Linked DNA regions of Macaca fascicularis. The protein of the gene in region 5 purifies or fractionates together with the protein of the main gene of each other region. This does not show direct contact. Links are inferred from orthologs where the notes say so. Each region holds a gene or a part of one and is shown on either strand. Other genes may lie near its edges.

Evidence for each region.
Region 1: the proteins of PES1 (region 5) and NOC3L purify together in Homo sapiens (affinity purification with mass spectrometry; 3 studies listed by BioGRID and IntAct, counting the BioPlex papers as one, with this or other methods). This does not show direct contact. The link is inferred for Macaca fascicularis from reciprocal best matches to the Homo sapiens genes PES1 and NOC3L.
Region 2: the proteins of PES1 (region 5) and WDR12 purify together in Homo sapiens (co-immunoprecipitation; 7 studies listed by BioGRID and IntAct, counting the BioPlex papers as one, with this or other methods). This does not show direct contact. The link is inferred for Macaca fascicularis from reciprocal best matches to the Homo sapiens genes PES1 and WDR12.
Region 3: the proteins of PES1 (region 5) and RPL7L1 purify together in Homo sapiens (affinity purification with mass spectrometry; 4 studies listed by BioGRID and IntAct, counting the BioPlex papers as one, with this or other methods). This does not show direct contact. The link is inferred for Macaca fascicularis from reciprocal best matches to the Homo sapiens genes PES1 and RPL7L1.
Region 4: the proteins of PES1 (region 5) and DDX27 purify together in Homo sapiens (affinity purification with mass spectrometry; 4 studies listed by BioGRID and IntAct, counting the BioPlex papers as one, with this or other methods). This does not show direct contact. The link is inferred for Macaca fascicularis from reciprocal best matches to the Homo sapiens genes PES1 and DDX27.

The regions. Positions count from the first base shown.
Region 1 is NC_088383.1:103,103,026-103,108,284, reverse strand, and holds part of NOC3L (nucleolar complex protein 3 homolog), read left to right. Parts: intron 1-716; coding exon 717-845; intron 846-1,575; coding exon 1,576-1,673; intron 1,674-4,718; coding exon 4,719-4,803; intron 4,804-5,142; coding exon 5,143-5,259. UniProt on the Homo sapiens protein: May be required for adipogenesis.
Region 2 is NC_088386.1:98,766,951-98,772,728, reverse strand, and holds part of WDR12 (ribosome biogenesis protein WDR12), read left to right. Parts: intron 1-740; coding exon 741-847; intron 848-3,862; coding exon 3,863-3,978; intron 3,979-5,334; coding exon 5,335-5,489; exon of another isoform or gene 5,490-5,720; intron 5,721-5,778.
Region 3 is NC_088378.1:128,658,015-128,664,494, reverse strand, and holds the start of RPL7L1 (ribosomal protein uL30-like), read left to right. Parts: upstream 1-2,223; 5' UTR 2,224-2,496; coding exon 2,497-2,537; intron 2,538-3,775; coding exon 3,776-3,881; intron 3,882-6,075; coding exon 6,076-6,239; intron 6,240-6,480.
Region 4 is NC_088384.1:105,297,897-105,304,355, forward strand, and holds the start of DDX27 (probable ATP-dependent RNA helicase DDX27), read left to right. Parts: upstream 1-2,720; 5' UTR 2,721-2,753; coding exon 2,754-2,846; intron 2,847-4,552; coding exon 4,553-4,699; intron 4,700-5,886; coding exon 5,887-5,946; intron 5,947-6,200; coding exon 6,201-6,363; intron 6,364-6,459. UniProt on the Homo sapiens protein: Probable ATP-dependent RNA helicase. Component of the nucleolar ribosomal RNA (rRNA) processing machinery that regulates 3' end formation of ribosomal 47S rRNA.
Region 5 is NC_088384.1:21,080,742-21,086,519, forward strand, and holds part of PES1 (pescadillo homolog), read left to right. Parts: intron 1-28; coding exon 29-138; intron 139-2,813; coding exon 2,814-2,985; intron 2,986-3,072; coding exon 3,073-3,162; intron 3,163-5,778. UniProt on the Homo sapiens protein: Component of the PeBoW complex, which is required for maturation of 28S and 5.8S ribosomal RNAs and formation of the 60S ribosome.

The DNA.
Region 1 (5,259 bases), on a different chromosome or scaffold from region 5:
TTGTATTTTAATGGAAAGAGGATTATGCTATATATTCTACCACTTTTTTAACCTTAGCATTTTAATCGTGGTAAACACATAATGTCACTACTCTTATCTCTTTAATGTCTATGTAAGGTTTATTTAGTTCTTTGCTTAACAAACACATAGTTCTGACTATGTGCCTTCCACTGTTATGCCTTACAAAAATTTAATTTTCATAACTCTGAGGTAGCTACTATTCTTCTTCCTGTTTTACATGTGGGAAAACTGAGGTCCGGAGAGGTTAAGTGTCTTGTCTTGAGTAGCAGTGCCAGTCAGTGGTAGAAGTGATATTCAAATGTAGGCAGTCTGGTTTTTCTGTTTCTCTTGATATAGGTTATTTCTTTTTTTGCTATTACAAATGATGCTATAGTGAATATCTTTTTGTATTTATCTGATGTAATTATTTCTATCAGATTTCTAAAAGTGGGATTGCAAGGTGAAAAGAATATTGTTTTCTTTTGCAAGATAACATTTTAAAGACAAAGATAAAATTTTTTTTGCAACTTTTGTTCTTACGATATAAACTTAAAATTGTTTTTTATTAAAACTAGGTGTAAACACTTTACACCTAAAGAGCTAAAGCTCTTCTTATACAACTATAAATTTAAATGCAAATACAACTACAAACCAGTAACACCTTTTACATTAACAATGTTAATTTAACCAATTCTTTTTATGTGACATTTTTGCAGACTTTCCCCAAAACAGATCTACTGCTTGACAGTGAATCTCAGGGAAGTGGAGTTTTCCTTCCTGAACTGGATGAGCCTGAATACTGCAATGCTCAGAACACTGCTCTGTGGGAACTACACGCTCTGCGGGTAAGAGTGGCCCTCGTTTTTTTCTTTTTGGGGATGTGTGTGAACAATTGTTTTCCAGTTTTTCTTCAAATAGTTGTTATTGCCAGAGTACTTAATTATATTTTGTTCTGGGGCTGCTTTTTTTTAGAATTCCTGTGTTAGTATGCTACATTTTACTTTGCTCTTACTATTTTTTAAGCTGTTGAGGTACATTTTCTAAGGAAGCAGAAAACTGTCAGTTCTGTGGGGTGAGGTTGTGGAAGATTTACTGAAATCTTTCCCTTTATTGAAATCTTTCCCTAACACTCTTCAGAGGATTTGTTAGCAGGTGCATTTCTGTTGAGTCCTATCCTAGGAGACTTTAGTAAGCCCTGTTTCAAGATGGTTTCACCTATACAGTGATCCTACAGTGTGGACAACATTAGAGTGAGACTTGTAGAAAATAGAAGTGGCAGGTAACCTGTTGTAAATTAACTTTTTTCACTCGGAAAGAGGAATTGCTTTTTGATTTTTCTATTTATATTGTAAAAGCAAGATAAACTACTTCACTGGTAACTTGATTTGTGTTTTAATCCTATGAGCAAAGATAATATTTCTGTGGCTATGTGCTTCTAATGAATTACATATACTGTACATAGGTGATGAAAAAAAAATTTGGTGTACTTTCATTTAAGAAAATCTTTGCTGTGGCTAGTGTTTTTTTGTAAAGGACTGACCTGTGCAAAATGTGATTGTCCTGTTTCCCCTTCAGAGGCATTATCATCCCATAGTGCAGAGATTTGCAGCCCACCTGATCGCTGGAGCACCTTCTGAAGGCTCTGGAGCACTCAAACCAGAGTTGAGTCGAAGGTAATATTTAGCATTGCCTTATTCTAAAACTACAAAATTCAGCTGGTAGCCACTTACTATGAGAAGTCTGTTTTATAAAGTAATATATTACACAATGTAAAGTGCCAGTTGGGTATCTGGGTTGGTCTTGCTTCATATTCCTGAATTGTTCTGAAAGAAAACATGCTATGATTTTGTTAATCACTTAAAACATTTTTTTTCTTCTTATGTCATTCAACTTGAAAAACATTTTTTTAATCATGAAAAGTTTCACACATACAGGAGAGTAGAATGGTATAGTGAATGTCCATATGCCCCCCATCACTCAGGTTCAACAATGAATAATCTATGGCTATAGGTGCTTCATGTGAAGATAAAACACAAGTCAACCAAATTAAGTTTCCTTGCTTTCTTGCTGTCTCTTTTTTTTTTTTTTTTCTGAATGGTCCTGTTAGGGCAAGAAGAGGAGAAAAAAAACAGTGAGGATAGGGAAGAAAAGAGGTGCTTTGGAACACTGCCATCCAGAAGGGCAGCTGTTTCTTTTTTTGGCCCTTGCAGACTACCTTCTGACCTGTAAGCAGCTTGGATGGGTACTTCCAGCACCCACCTCACACCCAGATGAGGAAAAAGTCCTCCTAAAAGAATCTTCTTTTCCCTGAACTGTTGATTTAGAAAATTTTCACAAGTGCAGAAAGGTGAAAAAATAATAGTTACTTTTTTTATTTTTTTGAGAGGAAGTCTCGCTCTGTCACCCAGGCTGGAGTGCAATGGCGCGATTTTGGCTCACTGCAACCTCCGCCTCCCGGGTTCAAATGATTCTCCTGCCTCAGCTTCCCGAGTAGCTGGGATTACAGGCACCCGCCACCATGCTCGGCTAATTTTTGTAATTTTTGTAGAGATGGGATTTCACCATGCTGGCCAGGCTGGTCTCGAACTCCTGACCTCAGGTAATCTGCCCACCGTGGCCTCCTACAGTGCTGGGATTACAGACATGAGCTACTGCGCCCAGCCAGTAATTACCTTTTTTTACATACAGACAGGAAATACTTCAGTTATACAGAGAAAGAGAGAAAATGGTATAAAAAATCCCTCAGTCCATTTATGGTGCCATAAAAAATGCCTAAGACCGGGTAATTTATAAACAACAGAGGGCCAGTCTCGGTGGCTCACACCTGTAATCCCAGCACTTTGGGAGGCCGAGGCGGGTGGATCACCTGAGGTCAGGAGTTTAGGACTAGCCTGGCCAACATGGTGAAACCACATCTCTACTAAAAATACAAAAATCAGCCAGGCGTGGTGGTGGGTTCCTATAGTCCCAGCTACTTGGGAAGCTGAGGCAGGAGAATTGCTTGAACCAGGGAGGTGGAGGTTGCAGTGAGTCGAGATCTCGCCATCGCACTCCAGCCTGGGCAACAAGAGCGAAACTCTGTCTGAAAAAAAAGAACAGAAATTTATTTTCTCACAATTTTGGAGGCTGGAAGTTGAAGATCAGGGTGCTGGTAGGTTTGGTTGACTGATGAGGGCGCCTCTCTGCTTCTGAGGTGGCGTCTTGTTGCTGTGTCTTCTGGAGGGGAGGAACCCTACACCCTCACATGGCAGACAGGACAGAAGGGGAGCAGGGCCACAGCTTAAGTTCATGAAGCCTCTTCTATAAAGACTTTAACCCATTTATGCCAGAGGTGGCAAATTTTTTTGTGTGTGAAAAATCAGACCTTGGGTGATGACCTTGAGCAGTAGGATATAAATAACTCCTACAAGCTTAGGACAGTAGTAGGCATAAATGGGTTAATCCCATTCATGGCTTTCATCTCTTAAAGCTTTCACCACTTAATACCATCACACTGACTGTTAAGTTTCCATGTCTGAATTTTGGAGGGGACACATTCAAACTACAGCACCTTACAGTGTACTTATTACCCAGAATTAATATCTTGCTGTAGGTTTTTTCCTTTTGCAAGCCCATTGGTTTCTATAATTCAGAGATCTCAGATTGGTGACCTTTGGGCCAGGCTGATTTTTCTGGCCTCAAGAGTTTGAAAAAAATCAAATTAGTTGCTGTCTTTTAAATATTGAAAGAATTCATCTGAAATTCACATTTCCTGCTTTTCTTGAAATACTGGGAGGTTTGGTGACATTGGCTTGTATTTTACATGACAGTAGTCAGTCATTTGCTGCCTCCTCTACATGAGGCAAGAGCTCTGCAGTTTTCCATGAACGCTTTCCTTCTGAGTAGGGTGGAGATAACTTTTGTCCTTATTAAATAAAATGGCCATTTACTTTTTCTTCCCTCACACTTCTCACCTGTCCCCAGTCTTCACCCCAACAGCCTTGTTTTTTAAAAGAGGAAAAAAGAAGAAAACAATTCTTTGTCACTCTTCATAATCGTTATATGACATGTTTTCCTTAGCAGTTTTGCTAAGGAAAGATGTTTCCTTTGTGGAGAAGCATGAGGAATGGGCTTATCCCAAAGGCTTAAGAAAGGAGACTCATAGTGGGCTTCTGGAGAATGGGTATTGGGATGTGAGCCTAATTGCTACCCTCGTAGGCCCTTGCCTATCTGTTTTGGAGAGTGTGAGCTAATTCCAAGTCATTAAGGGTTCATTTACACGCCATGGGTATAGACATGTATTCTGTCCTGAATGGCCTTTCCTTGTTTTTTATCCAGGCCAGTAGCAAAGAGTTGAGCTGTGTTCTAAGTCTATGGAGAATGACTCCATGCTTCAGTCCTCTGGCTCCCATGACTAAGATAGACTCAGTTGCATTATCAGTGGGTTGGGATTTGATCACACTGAACTGAAGTTCTTCAGCTTAGCTTTCTCTCTGGAGTCTATGCCTGTATTGCTAATGTATACCAAACCTCTCTGAGGTGGATTTAGTTGGATAATGTTGACATTACGTGGGAATTTAGAATTTGTTAAGTGACTGGGTTGGTTGGTTAGTTTCAAAAGCAGGACTATCTTATACCTTAATAAATGGGTTAAGAATGAATCATTCTCTGAGTATAATCTAATTATTTTTGAGTTACACAGATGTGGTGGTATCTTTACATTTGTGTTTGTGATTTAGATCTGCTGCTGAACTTTTTGAGGCGTATAGCATGGCAGAAATGACATTCAATCCTCCTGTTGAATCTTCAAACCCCAAAATAAAGGTATGGGATATTTTTCATTTTTTTAAAAGAAGAGATAGAAACCAATGTATCTCAATAACTCTAACTCCAGTTTGCTTAGTTATTTTATAGGCAGTTTATTTTTATTTTTATTTTTAATGTTTAGGAGTTCATCATAGGATGGATATTTGAGGTTGAAATTCTACAGAGATGGTCATGAAACTGTTTCATTCAATATAGGATATGTCCAAGACTTACCAAGCATCTGTCATTGTGTTGCATGTGTTGGTGTCAGCTGTTGCCATTTTCAACTTTGTTCACAGGTTGACTTTAGCTTATAGCATAAGTAATTTCTAACTCATACTTTAAATATTTTCCCAGGGTAAAGTTTTACAGGGGGATTCATTTTTGAATGAAGATTTAAATCAACTAATCAAAAGATACTCCAGTGAAGTTGCTACTGAATTGCCTCTGGATTTCACAAAATATTTGAAAACA
Region 2 (5,778 bases), on a different chromosome or scaffold from region 5:
TCTTAATTTTAATGTTTTCTTATATCTTCTTTTTTTTTTTTTTTCTGAGACAGAGTCTCCATCTGTTGCCCAGGCTAGAGTGCAGTGGCACAGTCTTGGCTCACTGAAACCTCTGCCTCCTGGGTGCAAGTGATTCTTGCGCCTCAGCCTCCCAAGCAGCGGAATTACAGGCATCCACCACCACGCCTGGCTAATTTTTGTATTTTCAGTAGAGATGGAGTTTCGCCATGTTGGCCAGGCACATCTTGAACTCCTGACCTCAGGTGATCCGCCCGCCTCAGCCTCCCAAAGTTCTGGGATTACGGGTGTGAGCCACTGCACCTGGCCTAAGGCTTTCTTATATTCTTTTTCCCCCTGTTTTCAGCATAAGTTTTACAAGGCCATTAGTATTTCTTCCTTTTAAATTTTTTGTTAGGAGACAGGTCTTGCTTTGTTGCCTGGGCTGGACTTGAACTCCTAGGCTTAAGCAGTCCTCCTGCCCCAGATTTCCTAATGTTTATAGGTAGGACTACGGGTGTGAGCCACCATGCCAAGCTATTATTTCCTAATAATCACTCTTAGCTTACTGTTAGGTCAAATAAAGTTCTTGACTTTTTGAATGGCTCCAAATTTGCTGAGTTATGAAGGGGACTAATATGAAGGATATGAAGGAGATATATTAAATTGGGGTTCTTTATCTTCATAATGTAGTATTTTAAAACTGTACCATCTGACTTGTTGCTGGTTTCTCTTGTGACTAGGAAGAAGTTGTGGAAATAGAATACGTGGAGAAGTATACTGCACCCCAGCCAGAGCAATGCATGTTCCATGATGACTGGATCAGTTCAATTAAAGGGGCAGAGGAATGGTATTGCCAGATTAATGCTCTTCTCTTTTTTCATTTACCTCCTTCAGTCTTTTTAAATCCATATATAAATATTTTTCTGTGATTTACTGTTATTTGTAAATTAATTTTGTGATCTCTATATCAGTGGCCACGCCAAACAGAAAGATCTTTGCACTCAGTGTCTTCAAGAAGAAACAGGTGGTCGGGCACGGTGGCTCACACCTGTAATCCCAACACTTTGGGAGGCTGAGGCGGGTGGATTATGAAGTCGGGAGATTGAGACCATCCTGGCTAACATGGTGAAACCCCGACTCTACTAAAAAAAATACAAAAAATTAGCCGGGCATGGTGGCAAGTGCCTGTAGTCCTAGCTACTCGGGAGGCTGAGGCAGGAGAATGGCACGAACCTGGGAAGTGGAGCTTGCAGTGAGCCAAGATGGCCCCACTGTACTCCAGCCTGGGCGACAGAACGAGGCTCCGTCTCAAAAAAAAAGAAACAGGTATTTATTAATGGATACTCTGTTCTGTTCAAGATGTAATAGTAACAATTACTGTTGTCTTTTTTTTTTTTTTTTTTTTTTAAACGGGTTCTCCTTCTGTTGCCCAGGCTGGTTTCAAACTCCTGGGCTCAAGCAGTCCTACTGCCTCAGCCTCCTGAATAGATGGGATTTCTCTACACCTATCTATGTTTGTCTTCTGAATAAGTCGTGTATCTTAGAGCATTTAATTTATTTGGTTTGATTATGTTGCTTTTAAGACCAAGGATATAGTTTGTTTCATAGAGGAAAAAAGTAACCTTTTTAGCCATAGATCTCCTGGCCTAATACCATAAAGATGCATAGCATGCTCTTTTAGGGCTAGAAAGAGCAGACTGTACTCAAGAAAGAAGGTATAGATATCTCAGGGCAAATCCTCACTGGCCTTGCGTTTAGGAAAACACCTCAAGAGTAGATTATAGTAGGAGCTTACTTCTTTCAGAGAACATCTCCCTGGAGTTATTACATAAAGTTATGTTTCTACTAGTTTTAGTTTAAATGGTTTTCACTGGTTGAGTACAAAGTACTTCAGGTTGACAGCCAGGCGCGTGACTCACGCCTGTAATCACAGCACTTTGGGAGCCTAAGGCAGGTAGACCACTTGAGATCGGAAGTTTGAGACCAGCCTGGCCAACATATTGAAACCTGTCTCTACGAAAAATATAAAAAATTAGCCGGGTATGGTGGTCCATGCCCAGAGTCCCAGTTATTCGGGAGGCTGAGGCAGGAGAAGCACTTGAACCCAGGAGGCAGAGGTTACAGTGAGCTGAGATCACACCACTGCCCTGCAGCCTGGGTAACAGAGCAAGACTGTCTCAAAAAAAAAAAAAAAAAAAAAAAAGAGCACTACAGGTTGGGTATTCCTTATCTGGAAATGTTTGGTACCAGAAGTGTTTTGGATTTAGGATTTTTTTTGGGGGGGGGGTAGTTTTGCAGTATTAACATATACATAGTGAAATATCTTAGGGACGTGATCCAAGTCTAAACATGAAATTCATTTATGTTTCATATATAGCTTATATACCTAGCCCAAAAGTAATTTTATATTATGTATATATAATATATAATATATAATATATATATTTTATATATTTTTTATATATATATGTATTTTTTTTTTAAACGGAGTCTCGCTCTGTCGCCCAGGCTGGAGTGCAGTGGTGCGATCTCAGATCACTGCAAGGTCTGCCTTCCGGGTTCAGGCCATTCTCCTGCCTCAGCCTCCCGAGTAGCTGGGAGTCTAGGCACCTGCCACCACGCCTGGCTAATTTTGTTTTTGTATATTTAGTAGAGATGGGGTTTCACCATGTTAGCCAGGATGGTCTCGATCTCCTGACCTCGTGAATCATCCGCCTCAGCCTCCTAAAGTACTGGGATTACAGGCGTGAGCCACCACGTCCGGCCAATTTTATACAATGTTTTTAATAATTTTGTGCCTGAATCAAAATTTTGACTGCATTTTGACTACAGCCTGTCATTATGAAGTCAAGTGTGAAATTTTCTACTTGTGGTGTCATGTTGGTGCTCAAAAAGTTTTGGATTTTGGAGAATTTTGGACTTATTTTCAGATTAGGGATGCTCAACCTGTGTTAGGGCCTACAAGTAATTTGCGTAGCTTTTGTGAGAGTTGTATTATTTACAACAATATAAAAATGAAATCGGCCAGGCGCAGTGGTTCACGCTTGTAATCCTAGCACTTTCGGAGGCCGAGGCGGGTGGATCACAAAGTCAGGAGTTCGAGACCAGCCTGGCCAACACAGTGAAACCCCGTCTCTACTAAAAATACAAAAAAAATTAGCGGGGCGTGGTGGTGGGTGCCTGTAATCCCAGCTATTCAGGAGGCTAAGGCAGTAGAATCTCTTGAACCTGGGAGGCAGAGGTGGCAGTGAGTCAAAATTGCGCCACTGCATTCCAGCCTGGGTGACAGAGCTAGATTCCATCTCAAAAAAAAAAAAAAAAAAGGAAATCTAGGATTTGCCAGGTATTATTATTATTTTTATTTATTTATTTATTTTGAGACGGAATCTCGCTCTGTTGCCCAGGCTGGAGTGCAGTGGTGCAATCTCGGCTCACTGCAAGCTCCACCTCCCAGGTTCACGCCATTCTCCTGCCTCAGCCTCCTGAGTAGCTGGGACTACAGGCACCTGCCACCACGCCCAGCTAATTTTTTGTATTTTTAGTAGAGACAGGGTTTTCACCGTGTTAGCCAGGATGGTCTCAATCTCCTGACCTCGTGATCCACCCGTCTCGGCCTCCCAAAGTGCTGGGATTACAGGATTGAGCCGCCACGCCCAGTCATGCCAGGTATTATTTTTAGGAGGTTGAGAAACATCAAGTGATCTGATCTAGTGTGTTTTGAAATCTCAATCTTCATATCAAAGAAGAGTTTAAAAGTATACTCCTCAAAGTTACTTTGTCATTGCCATAGAAACAAAATTCATTTTCAGGGTTTGAAAAAAACTGCTTTTTCTGTTTCATAAGATTTCTTTTCTCTTCATAGGATCTTGACTGGTTCTTATGATAAGACTTCTCGGATCTGGTCCTTGGAAGGAAAGTCAATAATGACAATTGTGGGACATACGGATGTTGTAAAAGATGTGGCCTGGGTGAAAAAAGGTTAGGACATTTTCCTTACACTTCGAGGAATCCTAGATAGAGATTTGGAAATAAGCCATTTTTGGTGCTGGGGAAGAATGGGGAGTGGGTAGGAAGCATCTCATACCTCAGTTATTATGAGGTCTTTCAAAAAATATAGTGTTCAAGAAGAAAAAGATTATATAAAAATTCATAAATTGTTAGAAGTGAATATTTATTAAAATTGCATCAGATAATATACATTTTCAAGTTAATTTTTTTTTTTTTTTTTTTTTTTTTTTTTGAGACGGAGTCTCGCTCTGTCGCCCAGGCTGGAATGCAGTGGCCAGATCTCAGCTCACTGCAAGCTCCGCCTCCCGGGTTCCCGCCATTCTCCTGCCTCAGCCTCCCGAGTAGCTGGGACCACAGGCGCCGCCACCTCGCCCGGCTAATTTTTTGTGTTGTTAGTAGAGACGGGGTTTCGCCGTGTTAGCCAGGATGGTCTCGATCCCCTGACCTTGTGATCCGCCCGTCTCAGCCTCCCAAAGTGCTGGGATTACAGGCTTGAGCCACCGCGCCTGGCCTCAAGTTAATATTGAGTGTATTACATTCATCTATTTTCTTCTTGTTTGTTTGTTTTGAGATGGAGTCTCGCTCTGTCACCCAGGCTAGCATGCAGTGGCATGATCTCGGCTCACTGCAACCTCCGCCTCCCAGGATCAAGCGGTTCTCCTGCCTCAGCCTCCCGAGTAGCTGGGACTACAGGCGCCTACCACCACGCCCGGCTAATTTTTGTATTTTTAGTAGAGATGGGGTTTCACCATGTTGGCCAGGCTGGTCTCAAACTCCTGACCTCGTGATCCACCCGCCTCGGCTTCCCAAAGTGCTGGGACAGGCTTGAGCCACCGCGCCTGGCCTGTTTGTTTTTTGAGGCAGAGTCTCACTCTGTCACGCAGACTAGAGTGCAGTGGCTCAATCTCAACTCACTGCAACTTCCACCTCCCAGGTTCAAGCAGTTCTCCTGCCTCAGCCTCCTGAGTGGGTGGGATTACAGGCGCCTGCCCCCACACCCACCTAATTTTTGTATTTTTACTAGAGACAGGGTTTTGCCATGTTGGCCAGGCTGATCTCAAACTCCTGACCTTAAGTGATCCGCTTGTCTTGGCCTCCCAAAGTGCCAGTATTAGAGGCGTGAGCCACCACACCCAGCCATCATCTTCTATTTTTAAAAAATCTTTTCTTTATACCATATCAGCCTTTTAAAACCTGGCCATATATGAGTTATCTTTTTAACATCTTTTTCAATAACAAAAAAATTTAGTTCTTCGGTTTCAGAACATGATGTATTCTAAATGGTGTACTGATTTGTTTCTTATTCTTGTGTTCTCCTTTCTTCAGATAGTTTGTCCTGCTTATTATTGAGTGCTTCTATGGATCAGACTATTCTTTTATGGGAGTGGAATGTAGAGAGAAACAAAGTGAAAGCCCTACACTGCTGTAGAGGTCATGCTGGAAGTGTAGATTCTGTAGCTGTTGATGGCTCAGGAACTAAAGTAAGTAGCTGGAATGTAATTAGTACTGTGTTAAATTAGTATTGGAGCTTGTTCCTAAACATTTTTTTTTTACATATATTCATTGTGTTGGCCTAGTTTCCTAACAATCGGTGACAAAAGATAGGATTTCAAAGCAAGAGTAAATACTCATACAGTAGGAGATAGTCAGTTGCTCAGTTTGAATATCCCTGGTTTAGAACCTTATATAAACCAGAAATTTTAAGAAATGAGGTGGCCGGGCGCGGTGGCTCAAGCCTGTAATCCCAGCACTTTGGGAGGCCGAGACGGG
Region 3 (6,480 bases), on a different chromosome or scaffold from region 5:
TTCCTCCTCCCTTTAATATTATTGATACCACAGACTCTACCTTTTATCCATAGACAGGAAAAATCACAAAACATTTAACTTTTTGCTTTTTTGTTTACTATTTAGTGAATGTCTTACACTTTGATGACCCTTGTATTTTGCCTCTTTACAAAGACACACGGTGAGGTGCTGAAAGAGAATGGGCCTCCCTCTTTCAGTGTGTGACCCTGAATACTGGGTTGTCCTGACACTTATTCATCAGAAAGTGACCTGTGCCCATGGCAGTCTTTCCGGTTGGACTAGTTACATGGCAACACGAGGCCTTTAGCTGCCACCAGTATCAGTATCAATAGTGCCAAAATCGAGAAATTGGTGCTAGACCCTTAGGATCAGTGATGAGCAAGCAGTCATGGTTCCTGACCTCCTAGTATCGTGTGGAAGAAATATTAAATATATAATAATGTCCTGAGGGAAATCAGACACTAGAGTCTTACTAGTCAGCCCATAGACCAGTAGCACCAGTGTCATTCTGAAGCCTGTTAAAAATGCAGAATATTGGCCGGGCGCAGTTGCTCACGCCTGTAATCCCAGCACTTTGAGAGGCTGAGGCGGGCGGATCACAAGGTCAGGAGATCGAGACCATCCTGGCTAACACGGTGAAACCCCGTCTCTACGAAAAATTCAAAAAATTAGCCAGGTATGGTGGTGGGCGCCTGTAGTCCCAGCTGCTCGGGAGGCTGAGGCAGGAGAATGGCGTGAACCCGGGAGACAGAGCTTGCAGAGAGCCGAGATCATGCCACTGCACTCCAGCCTGGGGGACAAAGCAAGACTCCATCTCAAAAAAAAAAAAAAAAAAAGGCCGAGCGCGGTGGCTCAAGCCTGTAATCCCAGCACTTTGGGAGGCCGAGGCGGGTGGATCACGAGGTCAGGAGATCGAGACCATCCTGGCTAACATGGTGAAACCCCGTCTCTACTAAAAATACAAAAAACTAGCCGGGCGTAGTGGCGGGCGCCTGTAGTTCCAGCTACTCGGAGGCTGAGGCAGGAGAATGGCGTGAACCTGGGAGGCGGAGCTTGCAGTGAGCCGAGATCGCCCCACTGCACTCCAGCCTGGGTGACACAGCGCGAGACTCCGTCTCAAAAAAAAAAAAAAAAAATGCAGAATATCAACTCCCCACCCGGCTTCCTGAATAAAAATCTGTATTTTAGTAAAATCTTCAGATGACTCCTATTCACTATTAATGCTTGAGAAGCGCTGCTCTGGAGGTTTGCGGAGATAAGACTTGTGTTGTTTTTCAGGATTTTTAATTTAAAAAAATTATTTTTTTATTTTTTTGAGACACTCTCGCTCTGTCGCCCAGGCTGGAGTGCAGTGGCACAAACTGGGCTCATGCAGCCTCCGCCTCCCGAGACTTCAGGCGCGAGCCACCACGCCCAGCTAATTTTTTGTATTTTTAGTAGAGACGGGGTTTCACCATCTTGGCCAGGCTGGTCTCCAACTCCTGACCTCAAGTGATCCACCTGCTTTGGCCTCCCAAAGTGCTGGGATTACAGGTGAAAGCCACCGGCTCCGGCCTACTTTTTCAGGATTTTATATAGACCGGGAGGGAAGAATGCATATTCCAGGTGATGACAGCTGTATAAGGGTTTTATTTTCATTCCTTTTTTTTTTTTTTTTTTTTTGAGACGGAGTCTTGCTCTGTCGCCATGTTGGCCAGGCTGGTCTCGAACTCCTGACCTAAGGTGATCCTCCCGCCTTGGCCTCCTAAAGTGCTGGGATTACAGGCGTGAGCCACCGCGCCCGGTCTGTATAACGGTTTTAGATGGCAAGGAAGCAAGTTGTAGTTTTCGGTCCAGCAGTAATAGTAACAAACATAGTGCTGACAGACACTGCTAAACGCTTTACGCTTTATATAATCTCCTGTAATCCTCGTAACGCCATTAGGTAGACCTATTATTACTGTATACCCATTTTATGGGTAATGAAGCCGCAGTACAGAGGGGTTAAATAACGTCTTCAAGGATCCATCGACGGAGCCAAGCTGACGGAATCGCAGCTACCTGTTTTACCACTCTAAGTCCTCAATAAACACTTGCACCTACATGTGAGAGCCAAAACCATAGCCTCCAAATTTTTCCACAGAGCGAAAAGGTTTCCCGCAATTTGTCTGTCTTCCTCCTCAGAGACGCAGCAGAGCCGCGCCGGAAGTGCGGCGCCTTCGCTAGAGCGGACGCCATAGGTGCATTGTGGGAAGCACTTCATTGTCCACAGCCAAGCTGTTTGTGATGAAACTGTAACTTACAAAAAAAAGGGCTGGGTTTTGAAAATGATACAGGCTCTAAAAACCCTGGAAGCGCTGCAACTTTTGGCAGGAATCGGGGTTAGCAGGACCTCAGCGGCTCACTGCGGCTAAGTGACCGCTGACTGTCTGGGTCCTCCAGCGTGAGTTAGAACAGACATCTCTATGGTCAAGGAAACAGAGCGAGTGCTGTCTTCCGCATGTGTTGGGGTTGCGCATGATCAGTAGCTGCACCACTAGAAAGATGGCGGAGCAAGAGTGAGTGGGGCTTTGAATATCTGGAATTGGGTGTTGAGTATCTGGTGCCATCCACGGTGTTTATGCCTCGGTGGCGGATTCTTGTGGGCTCTAGGAATAGAAAAGGCCACAGTTTACAAAGGGTGGGGATGAGAAGCCGTAGCGCTGTGGCGGAGGAGGGAGGGGACCGCGGTCAATTTCGGGTTATCTAGAGAGGCGAGGATTGACTTCAGGCAGCGGGCTGGAGTGCCACAGTTGAATTCACCCAGCCTGACAAGTATTAACCCTGCAGATAGGTCTGCACCCACCCCAACCCCATGGGGTTTTACTAGATTCGTCGCTGCTAGTGCCTATGAAGAGCTGTGGCAGTGAAAATCCTGTTAACTTACAGGAACGCAGAGGCTAAAGGGCTCTTTACTTTTTGAGGCATTGGGGATGAGTGAATATTAGGGGTACATTTTGAGGCCTGGAGTCAGAAACCGCAGGTTTCAGGGGAATCTTTCTTCAGACACTTGAAAACAGTAATGTTCCCTGAAGCCCAGGATATTGACTTGGTTTGGAAATCCATTGAATGTTCGTTTTTTTTGTTGTTGTTGTTGTTTTTTTGAGACGGAATCTTGCTATGTCGCCCAGGCTGGAGTGCAGTGTCGAAATCTCGGCTCACTGCAACCTCCGCCTCCCGGATTCAAGCGATTCTCCTGCTTCAGCCTCCGGAGTAGCCGAGATTACAGGCGTGCGCCACCCCGCCAAGCTAATTTTTTATTTTTGGTAGAAACAGGGGTTTCACCATGTTGGTCAGGCTGGTCTCGAACTCCTGACCTCAGGTGATATCCCCCCCCCACCTCGGCCTCCCAGAATGCTGGGGTTATAGGCTTGAGCCACCGCGCCCAGCCAAGTGTTCTTTTTCTTTTTCTTTTTTTTTTTTGAGACGGAGTCTTGCTCTGTCGACCAGGCTGGAGTGCAGTGGCCGCATCTCAGCTCACTGCAAGCTCCGCCTCCCGGGTCTATGCCATTCTCCTGCCTCAGCCTCCCGAGTAGCTGGGACTACAGGCACCCGCCACCTCACCCGGCTAGTTTTTTGTATTTTTTAGTAGAGACGGGGTTTCACCGTATTTAGCCAGGCTGGTCTCGATCTCCTGACCTTGTGATCCGCCCGTCTCGGCCTCCCAAAGTGCTGGGATTACAGGCTTGAGCCACCGCGCCCGGCCTCAAGTGTTCGTTTTCTAAATGTTATCTCTGATCTCAATTTTCTGCATCAGGCAAAGAAAAATCCCTTTGGTTCCAGAAAATCTGCTGAAAAAGAGGAAGGCTTATCAAGCCCTCAAAGCCACCCAGGCAAAGCAGGCACTTTTGGCAAAGAAGGAGGTAATGGTGGGGAACCAAGATAAAGTAATTAGAATTTGTATTAGGTGAGTTTTATCCAGCATGTGTTGGACTACATTTGGTATTTACGAGCTCCCCGCAACAGTTTGACAAACCAGGTATCGTTGTCTCTCAGTGTCCTTAGGGGGTTGGTTCCAGGACTCCCACAGATGCCTAAATCTGAGACTGCTGAAGTCCCTTATATAAAATGGTTGTGGTATTTGCATATCATCTGTACTCCTTCCGCCTATGTAATTTAAATTCTCTTTGGATTACTTAATAGCTTTTTTTTTTTTTTTTTTTTTTGAGGCAAGAGTCTCACTGTGTTCTGGAGTGCAGTGACACAGTCTCGACTCACTGCAACCTCTGCCTACTGGGCTCAAGCAATTCTCCTGCCTCAGTCAACCAAGTAGCTAGGATTACAGGCATGTGACTAATTTTAGCTAAATTAGCCACCACACTCGGCTAATTTTTTTTTTTATTTAATTTAATTTTGTTTTGTTTTTGAGACAGAGTCTCACCTGTCTCCCAGGCTGGAGTACAGGGATGTGATCTCGGCTTACCACAACCTCCGCCTCCCGGGTTCAAGCGATTCTCCTGCGCCAGCCTCCCGAGTAGCTGGGATTACAAGGATGTGCCACCATGCCCTGCTAATTTTTGTATTTTTAGTAGAGACGAGGTTTCACCATGTTGACCAGGCTGGTCTGGAACTCATGGACTCAAGTGATCTACCCACCTCGGCCTCCCAAAGTGCTGCGATTACTGGCATCAGCCACCCCACATGGCCACTGGCTAATTTTTGTATTTTTAGTAGAGATGTTTTAACATGTTGGCCATGCTGGTCTCAAACTCCTGGCCTCAAGTGATCCACCCACTGGCCTCTCAAAGTGCTGGGATTATAGACCTGAGCCACCCTGCCTGGCCTGGGTTACTGATAGCTAATACAGTGTACATAATGTATTTTTAAAATTTGTATTACTTTTTACTGTTTTTTTTTTTTTTTCATTTTTTTCCCGAATTTTTTTTCTTTTTTTTTTCTTTTTTTTTTTTTAAGAGGTCAGCAGGGCGCAGTGGCTCACGCCTGTAATCCCAATACTTTGGGAGGCCGAGGCAGGTGGATTACTTGAGGTCAGGAGTTCGAGACCAGCCTGGCCAACATGGTGAAACCACATCTCTACTACAAATACAAAACATTAGACGGGCGCTGTGGCATGTGCCTGTAATCCTAGCTACTCAGGAAGTGAGGCAGAAGAATTGCTTGAACCCGGGAGGCGGAGGTTGCAGTGAGCCAAGATTGTGCCACTGCACTCCAGCCTGAGTGACAGAGCGAGACCCTGTCTCAAAAAAAAAAAAAAGTGGGGTCTTTGGCCAGGTATGGTGGGTCACGCTTGTTATCCCAGCACTTTGGGAGACTGAGGCAGGTGGATCACCTGAAGTCAGGAGTTCGAGACCAACCTGGCCAACAAGGTGACCCTATCTCTACTAAAAATATAAAAATTAGCCAGGTGTGGTGGCACATACCTGTAATCCCAGCTACCTGGGAGGCTGAGGCAGGAAAATTGCTTGAACCCAGGAGGCAGAGGTTGCAGTGAGCCGAGATCGCATCACTGCACTCCAGCCTGGGTGACAGAGCGAGACTCCATCTCAAAAAAAAAAAAAAAAAAGAATGAGGTATTCTGTTACCCAGACTAAGTGCAGTGGCAGGATCATAGCTCATTGCAGCCTTGAATTCCTGGGTTCAAGAGAACCTCCTGCCTCAGCCTCCTGAGTAGCTGGGACTACAGGTGAGCCACTGTGTATGTGCTCCTCAGAAGTATTTTCCATCTGGGGTTGGTTAAATCACGGATGCAGAGCACCAAGTGTATATGGTGTATGTCTTCCTTTAGCAAATATTTAACACCTGCAGGCAAATGCTGGCGTTGAGTTTAAGGAAGCTTGTTAGTAAGCATTGATTAATATCATGCAAACTAATTTTTTGTTTGTTAATTATTTTTCCCAGTAATTCCCAAGTTTACTCAACTCCACCTTTACTTTGGTTTTTCATTTTTCCCTTATATGAAAATAGAGAATACTGCTTTGCCCTGCATTGTAGAACACGGGGAAATAAGCTCTATCAGTTGTCACTCATGAATTACTGTTTTAAAAGTAAAAATGTATGGAGGCACAAGATGATAATGATGGTCTGTCTTCTCTGTAGCAGAGGAAAGGAAAAGGGCTCAGGTTTAAGCGACTGGAATCATTCCTACATGATTCCTGGCGGCAGAAACGTGACAAGGTGCGTCTCAGACGACTAGAAGTGAAACCTCATGCCTTGGAATTGCCAGACAAACATTCCTTGGCCTTTGTTGTACGCATCGAAAGGTAAGGAACTGGTGTCTTTCTAATTGCGTGAGGCTGGGGCAAACCGTTGCTTAAGCTTTAGACCCCTTTCTAGGGAGATGATAAGCCCCAAGCCACTCAGCCAAGTCATGCTGGGATGTCAGGGTAGAGCACAATTTAGTCTGCAATATTTGGAAGACCTTAGACAGATAGACTTGAAAATAAGTGCTCACTAGGGAGAAGGGGTTGAGGACACCCTCTCTAAAGCAGGAACTTCTACCTG
Region 4 (6,459 bases), about 84 Mb from region 5:
CTGCTCAGGAGGCTGAGGTGGGAGGATTGCTTAAATCTAGGAGATTGAGGCTGCAGTGAGCTGTGATTGTGCCACTGCATTCCAGCCTCGGTGACAGAGCAAGACCGTGTCACACACACCAAAAAAAAAAAAATAAATAAAAATAAAAATAAAAAAGAAAAGGACTTAGGTCTTATGCACATAGAGAACACCAAGTGAAGACATAGAGGGAAGATGGCCATCTCCAAGTGGAGGGGGAGCCCTGGGAAAACCAACCCTGCTGATACCTTGATCTCAGACTTCTAGACTACCAAACTGTGAGAAAATACATGTCTATTGTTTAAGCTACCCAAACAAACTAAAATGTTTCTAGGGCCCGCAGGAAGCATAAATGTGTGAAGAGTGTGGTGCTCCCAGGGTGCAGAGAGATCTAGGATGAGAGGATGAGCTGAGCGTGTGGATTCTACTTAAAGCAGCAGGTTCTCAACCGTGATAATTAGGAGACAATTTAGGTTATCACAATGGGTGAGAGGGGTGCCTCTGGCATTTAGTGGGTGCAGGCCAGGGATGCTGCCTACCATCCTACCATGCACAGGGCAGCCCCCACAGCCAAGACGGAGAAATTCCTGATTTAAAGGAATTAAAATTGTTTTGATGTCCCTGATTCTACATTGGTCTTTGATGTTGTGATCCTTAAACTAGATTTTAAATAAAGGAGTGGTTGGATCTCATTTGCATTTTATTATTATTTTTTTGTATTTTGTATTTTAGTAGTTTTTTTTGTACTTAGTAGAGATGGGTTTTCATCATGTTGCCCAAGCTCGTCTCAAACTCCTGAGCTCAGACAATCCTCCTACCTTGGCCTCCTTAAGTTTACAGGCATGAGGATCCTCCTTACGAGGATCAATCCTCCTAAGGATTACAGGCATGAGCCCCCGCACTTTTTGCATTTTAAAGACTTTGTTCTGGCTGCTTCGAGGAGAGGAAAGTGGAGGGGATAAGTCTAGAAGACCTGTGTGGTAGTTACTGGCCGATCGAGAAAGGAAGGACGGCAGTGAGGGTGGTGGGGAGGTCTCCATGTATTCAATACAACACATAGTCATTCATTCTTCATTTTTTGAAATAAAGGGTCTCGCTCAGTCACCCAGGTTGGAGGGCAGTGGCGCGATCATAGTTCACTGCAGCCTTAACCTGGGCTCTGGGGATCCACCTGCTTCAGCCTCCTGAGGAGCTGGGACTACAGGCGTGTGCCACCATGCCCAACCATGCTCTGTCACCAGGCTGGAGTGCAGTGGCACCATCTTGGCTCACTGCAACTTCCAACTCCTTGGTTAAAGCAATTCTCCTGCCTCAGCCTCCCATAAGCTGGGATTACAGGCACGTGCCACCATGCCCAGCTAGTTTTTGTATTTTTAGTAGAGACGGGGTTTCACCATATTGGCCAGGATGGTCTCGATCTCTTGACCCCGTGATCCGTCTGCCTTGGCCTCCCAAAGAGTTGGGATTACAGGCATGAGCCATCGCGCCCAGCCAACATTATTTTTAATTTAAAAAAAAAAAAAATATATATATATATATATATATATATATGAGATGGGGTCTTGCCATGTTGCCCAGTGTTGTCTGGAACTCCTGAGCACAAGCCATGCACCCACCTGGCCTCCTCAAGTGCTGTGACTAAAGGTGTGAGCCACTTTGGTCTTGATTTTTATTTTATTTTCTTTTTTTTTTTTTTGAGACGGAGTCTTGCTGTGTCTCCCAGGCTGGAGTGCAGTGGGTGATCTCGGCTCACTGCAAGCTCCGCCTCCCGGGTTCACGCCATTCTCCCGCCTCAGCCTCCCAAGTAGCTGAGACTACAGGCGCCCACCACCACGCCCGGCTAGTTTTTTGTATTTTTAGTAGAGACGGGGTTTCACCATGTTAGCCAGGATAGTCTCGATCTCCTGACCTCGTGATCCACCCGCCTCGGCCTCCCAAAGTGCTGGGATTACAGGCTTGAGCCACCGCGCCCGGCCTTGATTTTTATTTTCTTCTGAGATTTTTTTTTCCCCTATAATAAACATTAATTTTCATTAAAAAGTTTCGGGCTGGGCGCAGTGGCTCATACCTGTAATCCCAGCAGTTTGGGAGGCTGAGGCAGGAGGATTGCTTGAACCCAGGAGTTCGACACCAGCCTGGGCAACATGGTGAAACTCCGCCGGGCATGGTGGTGGCGCCCGTACTTCCAGCTACTCAGAAGGCTGAGGCGGGAGGATCGCTTAAGCCCGGGAAGTCGAGGTTGCAGTGAGCCATTATCTCCACTGCACTCCAGCCTGGGGGACAGAGCCAAACCCTGCCTCAAAAAAAAAGAAAAGAAAAGAAAAAAAAGAAAAAAAAATTACTTAGAATTTTACCACCCAGAAACAATCACAGCTAACTGCTTATTGTATTTTCTTCTACATTTTTTTAATATAAATATCCACATCTAGAGTTTATAAATGCAACTCTTTAGCCTCTCTCACCCCTTGCACTTTCCTCAAACATTTCCACCATCTTGAGGCCGGAGACCGTGGAATTTGCTTACCGAAAAAATCCCCTCCCCTTGATGTCGTCATACGAAACTACGCCCCAGATTGCCGCATGCGCACTCTTAAGAGGTCGAAACGGGGAGATGGGCAGGGGCTCTCGAACGGAAGTGACGCATGGTACATGCGCAATGACGACGAGGAGGTGGTAAAAAGTCAAGTGCTGGCCCGCACGCTGTGCTCGCTTCCGGAAGTGGCTTCTGCGACAACATGCTTGCAGACCTCGGCTTAATCGGGACCATAGGCGAGGATGACGAGGTGCCGGTGGAGCCCGAGTCTGACTCTGGTGACGAGGAAGAAGAGGTATGAGGACGGTTCTGGTCTTTGGGCTTCCTTGACTGCTTCTCTTCCCCGCGATTCCTCAGGTCCCTGTCCCCGAATCCTCATCATCGCCTGCCAGCCCGGGAAGTTTCCCTAAAAGGATCTCGCCGGGACCCCAAGATCTTCCTCAGTTTTCCGGCGACTAGGTTTTCTCTACGTCCGCCTGCTTCTTTGGCCGTGTCGTTCCCTGTCTCCTTGCTGAACTCAGTATCCATTCACTGAATTGATATTTAACCACGCACTGTGTAAGAGACATGCAGGTCTCTTACACCTTGTAAGAGGTGAAGTCAGCCCTGGTTCCTGCTCAAGGAGCCGTGGTTAGCTGTCCATTCATATGTTCATCGAGCCAGTGTTTATTGTATACTTATGTGTGCTAGACCTAGTGTTAAGCGTTGGGGACGTAGCAATGAACAAGGTGAGTGCCACTCTTCTGAAGCGTATGGTGGTGTGGGGGCTTGCAGATATTAAGCAGTATGGCAATTAAAGAGGGATCGGTGTTCTGAAAAGGATGCTTGCCCTTCAAACATTCAGCCCAGATGTTGTCCCTTCTGCAGTCTCATCTGTCCGCTTGATACATTTATTCAGATGTCCCATGGCCTCTACAAATTCAACTCCTCCAAAGTTGAACTTGTGTTCGCTCTCATCCTGTTCCCTTCTCAAGCCAGCAACCTTAGAGTTATTCTTGACAGTTTTTTCTTCCTCAGCGCCGCCAGTGCTCTGCAAGCTAGCTCATGAATCTCTCTTAAGCTTCTCCCGCCTCTCTCCATTCACACTGTACCCACCCTAGCTCCGGCCACTGCTGTCTCATGCCTGCACACCAGCACACCAGCACACCACCAGTCCAAACATACTTCATTTCTTTATCTTGAGCACTTCCAGTGTATTCTTCGCTTAGCAGCAGAAGGATCTCTTTGTGATACAGTCACGTTAGAGACCTCCCTTGCTTAAAACTCTCCAGCCTGCTGGTAGAGAGCCCCAGGCCTGTCCACTCTGCAGAGACTCCTCAGGCAGCCTGTGGGTCCTGCACACTGCCCCCATTTCCCTGATGTCCCCTGTGGGCGCAGGCGGCCTACTGGCTGGTGCAATCTTGGCTCACCACAACCTCTGCCTCCTGGGCTCAAGCAATTCTCCTGCCTCAGCCTCCTGAGTAACTGGGATTACAGGCATGCGCTACCACGCCCAGCTAATTTTTCTGTATTATTATTTTTTTTGAGATGGAGTCTTACTCTGTTGCTCAGGCAGGAGTGCAATGGTATAGTCTTGGCTCACTGCACCTTCTGCCTCCCGTGTTCAAGCAATTCTCCTGCCTCAGCCTCCCGAGTAGCTGGGACTACCAGTGCGTGCCACCACACCTGGCTAATTTTTGTATTTTTAGTAGAAACGGGGTTTCACCATATTGGCCAGGCTGGTCTTGAGCTCCTGACCTCGTGATCCGCCCACCTTGGCCTCCCAAAGTGTTGGGATTACAGGCGTGAGCCACCATGCCTGTCTTTTTTGTATTTTTAGTAGAGACTGCATTTCATCATGTTGGTCAGGCTGGTCTGGAACTCCTGACCTCAAATGATCCACATGCCTTGGCTTCTTAATGTGCTGGGATTACAGGTGTGAGCCACTGTGCCTGTCCCCTTCTTCCTTTCTATTGTTCTTTATCTCAGCCCCAAAGTCACTCTGTCTCTTACTCTTCCCAGGGGCCTATTGTGCTGGGCAGACGACAAAAAGCCTTGGGGAAGAACCGCAGTGCTGATTTCAATCCTGACTTTGTTTTCACTGAGAAGGAGGGGACTTATGATGGCAGCTGGGCCCTGGCTGATGTCATGAGCCAACTAAAGAAGAAGGTGAGTCTGACAGTGATGGACAGTTCCAGACCTTGGACTATTAAGATTGGACTGTGGGTTTCAGGGCCTAGTCCTGACCTGACTGACCATCTGTTTACATTCAGCAGATACTAGAACTCCTTTGAAAATAACTGGTTTAAAAAAAAAAAAAAAAAAAGAAAGTATCTGGTATACTTTTGATGAGATCACAAATGACTCACTGTCTTTTTTTTTTTTTTTTTTTTTTGAGTCTGCTTGCTGGGGAAGACTCGTCTTGATTAATACCAAATGAAGTATGAGCACTTGCCAGGTGTCTCCTGTGGTGTCACTGTGCAGTGTCCCTGCCCACACAGCACAGCCAAAGCTACCACAGATGTCATTGTCATCTGCTTGTTTGCCAAGATCCCATGCCTTTCTGTGAATCTGGTTAAACTAGAAGATGCATCCAAGTTATTTACCATTTCATGTGCATCAGAGAGAAAGATTGCCTGTCCAGAACAGTGTAATCCAGGCTTTGCTGGTCCTTGTTCTGATTGAAATAAATCAGCATTGCCTTTTCTTTTTTTTGAGACAGAGTCTCTCTCCGTTTCCCAGGCTGGAGTGTAATGGCGCTATCTCGGCTCACTGCAACCTCTGCCTCCTGGCTTTAAGTGATTCTTGTGCCTTAGCCTCCCGAGTCGCTGGGATGACAGGTGCCCACCACCACGCCCAGCTAATTTTTTGTGTTTTTTTTTTTTTGTTTTTGAGATGGAGTCTCACTCTGTCACCCAGGCTGGAGTGCAATGGTGCGATCTTGGCTCACTGCAACCTCTGCCTCCTGGATTCAAGGGATTCTCCTGCCTCAGCCTCCTGAGTAGCTGGGATTACAGGCATGTGCCACCATGTCCAGCTAATTTTGTATTTTTAGTAGAGATGGGGTTTCTCCATGTTGGTCAGGCTGGTCTCGAACTCCCGACCTTAGGTGATCTGCCTGCTTTAGCCTCCCAAAGTGCTGGGATTACAGGCGTGAGCGACTGCGCTCAGCCTTACCAGCATTGCCTTTTCAAGATCATCTGGAGAGGATTTTAAAATTTTTGTATATATAATATGTATATATATTTTCAGAGAATGCCAACATTTTTTCTTTTTCAAATTAATTATGAAGAATTTGTTCTCTTATTCGATGTTTCAATGAAAATTTCTTTTCACCTCTTTATTTTTATCTGCAGAGGGCAGCCACTACATTAGATGAGAAGATTGAGAAAGTTCGAAAGAAAAGGAAAACAGAGGTGAGAGGAAAAGTGGCTATTTCTCGTTGTTATGCCCCACACTTTACTCTCACCGCGACCCCAGCATCTCTCTGGAAGCCCTTACAGAGCGGGGCATGGCTGGGGCAAGCACGCTCTTCTGTGCGTTTGCTGTGCATCAGTACTGAGAATCCCCACAGCCGTCTGTTCAGGCCGGAGAGCTTCCTGTTGCTTTACTTAAGTTCTGGATCTGTAGAAGTTTGTCATCACCGTCGCTTTAATTTTTTTTTTCCCAGGTTAAAGAAGCCAAGTCTGGGAAGTTGGAGGAGAAGGAAACAAAGGAGGGCTCTGAACCAAAAGAGCAGGAAGACCTTGAAGGGAATGATGAGGAAGGCTCAGAAGATGAAGCCTCAGAGACCGACTACTCATCAGCTGATGAGAACATCCTCACCAAAGCAGGTAGACGTTACGGCGGAGGTGTCAGCAACGGGGACAGGAGATCAGAAGGCATCCTCCTTTATTTTGTAGGGTTTCCTTCACTCTTCTGCACAGTTT
Region 5 (5,778 bases):
GCATCAGTGGTCTTTTCCTTTCCTTCAGGTGTTTGTCCGGAAGCTCCGGAAGGCCTATGGGAAGAGCGAGTGGAACACTGTAGAGCGTCTAAAGGACAATAAGCCGAACTACAAACTTGACCACATCATCAAGGAACGGTGAGCCAGGCCGTCTTCGGGACACCGCAGTTTCTTCATTTACTGCTGGTCTCTGTCCTAGCACCAGGGATTCAGTAGGGAACAAGACTAAGACCCAGCTCAAAGAGCTTGCATCTCCTTGAAGGACACAGACCAAAAACCAAGCTAGCAAATTTCTAGAATGATTACTAGGTCTGTAGTTACAGGGCTGTCAGACAGGGCTCTGAGGGGAGACGTCTGAGCCAGCCAGCGGAAGCACAGTCCAAGCAGAGGCCGTGGCAAGTGCAGAGGCCCTGTGGTGGGAGAGCCCCAGCGCCCCATGGCTGCACGGCGGGTACCTGGTGAGACCTGGGAAGCACGGCTAGACACTTCTGGTCTGAACTGTTCCTTGCCCAGCCTTCTCAGACGTCCCCCTCATTCACTAACTAAATCAGCAAATTTTGTTTCGTGTGTTTTTTGAGAAAGTCTTGCCCTGTTGCCCAGCCTGGAGTGCAGCGGGGGGATCTCGGCTCACTGCAACCTCCACCTCCCAGGTTCAAACAATTCACCTGCCTCAGCCTCCTGAGTAGCTGGGATTACAGGCACCACCACCACGCCTGCCTTATTTTTGTGTTTTTAGTAGAGACTGGGTTTCACCATGTTGGCCAGGCTGACCTTACGTGATCTACCCACCTCGGCCTCTCAAAGTGCTGGGATTACAGGTGTGAGTCACCACATCCAGCCTAAATCAGCAATTCTTAATCAGGGGTGATCTTGCTTTTCCAGTGGGCATTTGGCAATGTCTGGAGACTCTTTTGGTTCTCACAACTTGGATGGATGTGCTATTGGTATCAAGTGGAGAGAGGCCAGTGATGCCACTAAATGCGCTATAGTAGTCCCCTACAACATAGTGTAGTCTGACCCAAATGTCAGTAGTGGTAAAGTTCAGAAGCCCTGGGCTGGTGAATGTCTGTCATCTTTGGGGGCTGATGGCCCAGGAACACTGAGCTCCAGGATGGCTCGGGTTGGCTTCATCCAGCCTGGCTGTGGGCTGTCACAGGAAGAGCCCTGGCCTAGGAGCTAGACGGCCGGTGTTCCCATCCCAACTGTGTGGCACATGCGCTGGGTGGCCAGAGGGTATTTCTTAACCCGAGTAGGTCCCCACCTCCATAAGAGATGATGGCAGTTCCTGTCCTGCCTGTGACACACAGTGTTCGGTGAAATAAACGAAAAAAAGCCACACACGAAAAGCAAGTGCCTGGGTTCATACACACACATCAAGTGTGACGGTGTGGTTGTGGTGATCTCATTTTACACCATCTCTAGCTCCTTAGCTAAAGCCAGAGCTTAAGAAAGAAAAGCAGTTGGCCCGGAAATGCTGGCGCTGTTTCTACAGAAAGCCTGGGTTGTTGGTTTTGTCTGTGAGGTGGAGAGTTAGGAAACTACAAGGCACCAGAGAGGGCCAATTGAGGCTGTCACCTCTGCACCAAGAAACCAGACAGCTATCCTGCTGCCTCATGAGAGGTCTCTGCAGGCCTTTCTTCCATCTTGGCATGGGTTTGAAGACCTGGTAGACTTCTGACTCGTAGCAGTAAGTGATGCCATCTGGGGCTGGAAGGACCTTGGCAGTGTCTGGTCTCATGGATTTTGGAGTCTTTTTTGAAGTAGCAGAACCCATTCTCTCTCTCTCTTTTTTTTTTAAACTGCACCCCTCCCGCTGCCCCGCCCAACCCCCAGCCAGAACCCATACTTCAAAAGGAAGCTGCTTCTCCTTGAAGAAGCACTTGGAAAAAAGAAAATAGGAAAAGTAACAAAAATGATTTTTAAAAAGGTAGCTTCCTGGAAGGCAGTTTGGATGCCAGCGTCTCTGGCAGCTGCTCTGGCTGCGGGAGAGAAGCTTGAAGCTCTGTCCGTCCACTTGGGCCCAAGGCATTTCTAGGGAGCTGCAAGAGCCCAGTCGTAAATGAAGAGTCTGGGTCACAGCTCGGACCAAGACTGGAATCCAGGTGTCGTTGCTTGTGGTTCCATGTCTTCTCTGTGACCCATGCCTCTGTCCCTCAACAGGGCAGCCACACAGTGCCCGGGGTGGCTCCTCCGTGTTGGCTTTGTCATTTACCACAAGATTCCCCGAAACACATTCTGCTCTGGCTCTTCCTGGACCCAATTCCCTGGGTCTTATTGGTTCTGCCAACTAGACAGGTCCAAGGGGTGAGAAGCATGGAAGCTAGAACCTACGCTGGCGACCTGTGGCCAGGCCTAGACATAAGTGCTGCCTAGGGGAAGCAGCCCCCACCCCGCTCCCTTCTCCACTAGGGCAGCTTTGGTTTCCCATTTTCCATCTTGGACCTCTCTATAGAGTGTCCGTGCACTAAATGTTCACCTTCAAAGACAGTCATGGAGGCCCTGACTCCGTCTACCTTCATGCACCACAAAATACGTACGTGGGTCAAGGCTGGGTCTTTGGTGAGCAATGGGTGTCTTGAGGATCCCCATCAGGACTTCTCTGGTCCTCAGAGCCTAGTGGGCACGTCCTGGTTAAGTGGTTCCTCCCAAGGACTGTGGTCAGATGTGGGGAAGCTGCTCCTGCCAGGTCAGGAGGTGGCAGTGGTGAGGCCTGGCTTGAGGAATGGGGCATCTGGGGTGGGGTAAGGAGATCAGGGCCCCCCCTTGGTACCCAGGCTGAACAGGCCCCATGTGCTGCCCCACTGGCTGTGCAGGTACCCCACATTCATCGATGCCCTGCGGGACCTGGATGATGCCCTCTCCATGTGCTTCCTCTTTTCCACCTTCCCACGGACTGGCAAGTGCCACGTGCAGACCATTCAGCTGTGCCGCCGGCTCACTGTGGAGTTCATGCACTACATTATTGCCGCCCGTGCCCTGCGCAAGGTGAGCCTGTGACCATCTGGCGGGCACCCCACCCCACGCCCTCTCCTGCCCACCATGGTCTTCACCCAGCTGTCTCCTCTCCCACAGGTCTTCCTGTCCATCAAAGGCATTTACTACCAGGCCGAGGTGCTGGGGCAGCCCATTGTGTGGATCACTCCCTATGCCTTCTCCCATGATGTGAGTGTGCCTGTCGGGAGGGGAGGGGCTTGTGCTGCCTCCTAGACAGATACAAGTGTGGAGGAAGGGGGATTTTGCTGTTCATGGAGTCTAGCAAGTGCTGGGTTCCCAACTGTTGACGATGGGTGAGGTGGGGCAGAACAAGATGGGGAATGTGCCACACAGCATCCTCATTAAGAGCAGGAACCTAAGCTAGTCCTGTGGCAGCACCTGGCAGCTGTATGCCCTTGGACGTGTTCCTTTCACCTCTCTGTGCCGCAGTTAACAGTGTCTACGTCCTTAACAGTGCCTGGTGCTTGGCCTTTTAGGGGCCGAGTGAACAGTGAGAACAGCTACCAGGGTCATACCCGGCCTGCACGTCCAGCACCACATGGGGACAGTGGCAGAGCCCTGCCCTCAAACCTACTGGGGTCCTTGTCCCTGCTTTGCTGCCAATAACTGCCAGACCTTGGCCAAGTGGCCTTGCCTCCCTCCTCTGCTTCCCCCTTCCCGCCTGTCTGCCCCACAGGACTCAAGGACTGGGAGAGAAGGGGAACGGTGAGCACAGGAGAAGCACTTAGCATGTGGCACTGTTTCCTATACATATTGTTTTCTCTTTCTTTTAAAATAGAGATAGGGTCTCACTACATTGCCCAGACTGGTCTTGAACTCCTGAGCTTAAGCAGTCCTTCCATCTCAGCCTCCCAAAGTGGTAGGATTATAGGCGTGAGCCGCAGAGCCCAGCCTTTTTCTTTATCCATTTGAAATCCTGGGAATTGTTGGCAGGGATCCACTGAGAGAAACCCTGGTTTTGCCCCCTCATGGAGGCATCATTAGCTTCTAGTGCCCCCCAGGTGGTGGGGCCAGCCTCTCCTGCCTCCCTGTGCTGGTGGCCTGCATTTAGCCCACCTTGCTTGATCATTGAGTGGGAACTGGTGCCTTCAGTGGAGAGCAGCCGCTGCTGGTCCAGTTAGCACAGTGGCTCTGCTGTCCAGATTATCGGGGCTCCAGGGGGAGCTGGGGCTCTAGGCGCTCTGGACTGTTCCTTACGATCCCTTGTGGGTGGGGTTGCAAGGGCTGGAACCCACCCTAACTGGCTGCCTGGTGGTGAGGCTGTGGCCTGTTTGCCGGTGAGAGGCGGGCTTGGCCCTCAGCAGTCCCTGTTCCCACCCCTCATGGGGCACGCATGGGTGGCCCTTCCTTCTTCCCCTCCACAGCCCTCTCTCCTCCTCCTTCCTTCCTGCCTTCCTCTTGGGCCTTCCATCTCTCTGACGTCCTGCCCCCATGCTACTCAGACTGCTCTTTGTGTGTCCTCCCTGCTGGTGAACAGGGCCCTGGGGCAGGCTGGCCTCCACACAGCTGGCCCTGGGAGAAGGGAGCCAGCCACCCATTCCCCTTTCCTCCCCGGCCAGTTCACAGCCGTTGCTTCCTCTCAGCAGATGGGGAGGACTGGCACTAGGTCGTAGCGGAGCCCAGTTGTGCCCCTCCTGTGAGCAGCCAGGGTTGGGTTCATAGCTGTGGAAGTCAGGCTGGTTGTAGGGTCGGGGGCCCCCTGCTCAGTGCTGGGCTGTGGGAAATGTGGTTGGTCCCCTGATGTGCCTGTCAGGGGCCCTCACAGATTCTCATGGAAGGATGGAGGTGTGAGTGGGGGGACAGGCGGGACTTCCCTTGGCCCTGTGTGCTTTCACAGCACAGGTCACTGTCTGGCAGCAGAATAGCAGAACAGCTGAGAGTCATGGGCACACCCGGCACTCATGGTGATCACTACTGATTTTCATGTTGCTCGGAACATCCTGCTGCGTCCTGGGAGCCAGCTGGGCTGGCTTGGCCTCCATGGTTTTAGGGGGCAGAACCGCTCAAGAGTTGCGGTGCTTCTGTCTGGGCCTCAGTTCTTTGCCCTGTTTTGCCCTATTAGCTGCTCCAGGGCGAAGATAAGCCTTCTGTGTCCCCTGCTGCTGGGATGACAGCTCTTTGCCTTTGCCCTGAGCAGTAAGTAGTTTGTCTGCTGGCCATTTCCCAAGAGCTGCCTGGGGGCTGAGCCAGGCCAGCTGCCAGCCTACCCCAGCCCTTTGGGTCATGGCTCTGGACCTGGCTTGGGCCCAAGGAGGGGTCACTCAATTCTGAGTGTCCATCCCGAGGTTCAGAGGTGGGACTCAGTGGGTGGCCTGAGCCCCATTCATCCCCCGCCCCCGCTGAGCCTGGCCTTCCCAAGGCACCTTAGTCAGCTAAGGTTTTGCCAGCCCTTCTGGGCTAGGGACAGCGCTGGGAGCACCGCCCTCCTGGTGCCCACACGCTAGCCCAGCAGCAGACATGCAGCAAAGATTGTGGGCTAGGTGATGCGGAAGGCAGGAGCTCCGGCCGGGTCAGAAAGTGGTGTCTCCGAGTCTGAGCTAGACCTGAAGGGAGTGGGAGAACTGGCGCAGGGAGGGGAGGACCAGCCAGTCCTGGGAGCAGTGGGGACCAGGGTTCCTTTTCTCACTCTTTTATGGGGGTCTGGCACTGACTTCGAGGATGGCTCTAACCCTTGGGACCCCTATCCAGAGCCTCACTTGTGGCTGGGAACACTTGTGGCCAGAACGCCCCTGGGTGGGAAGATCCGTGCCACCCCTTCCCTAGGGCAGTGCCTTCTTGAGGAGC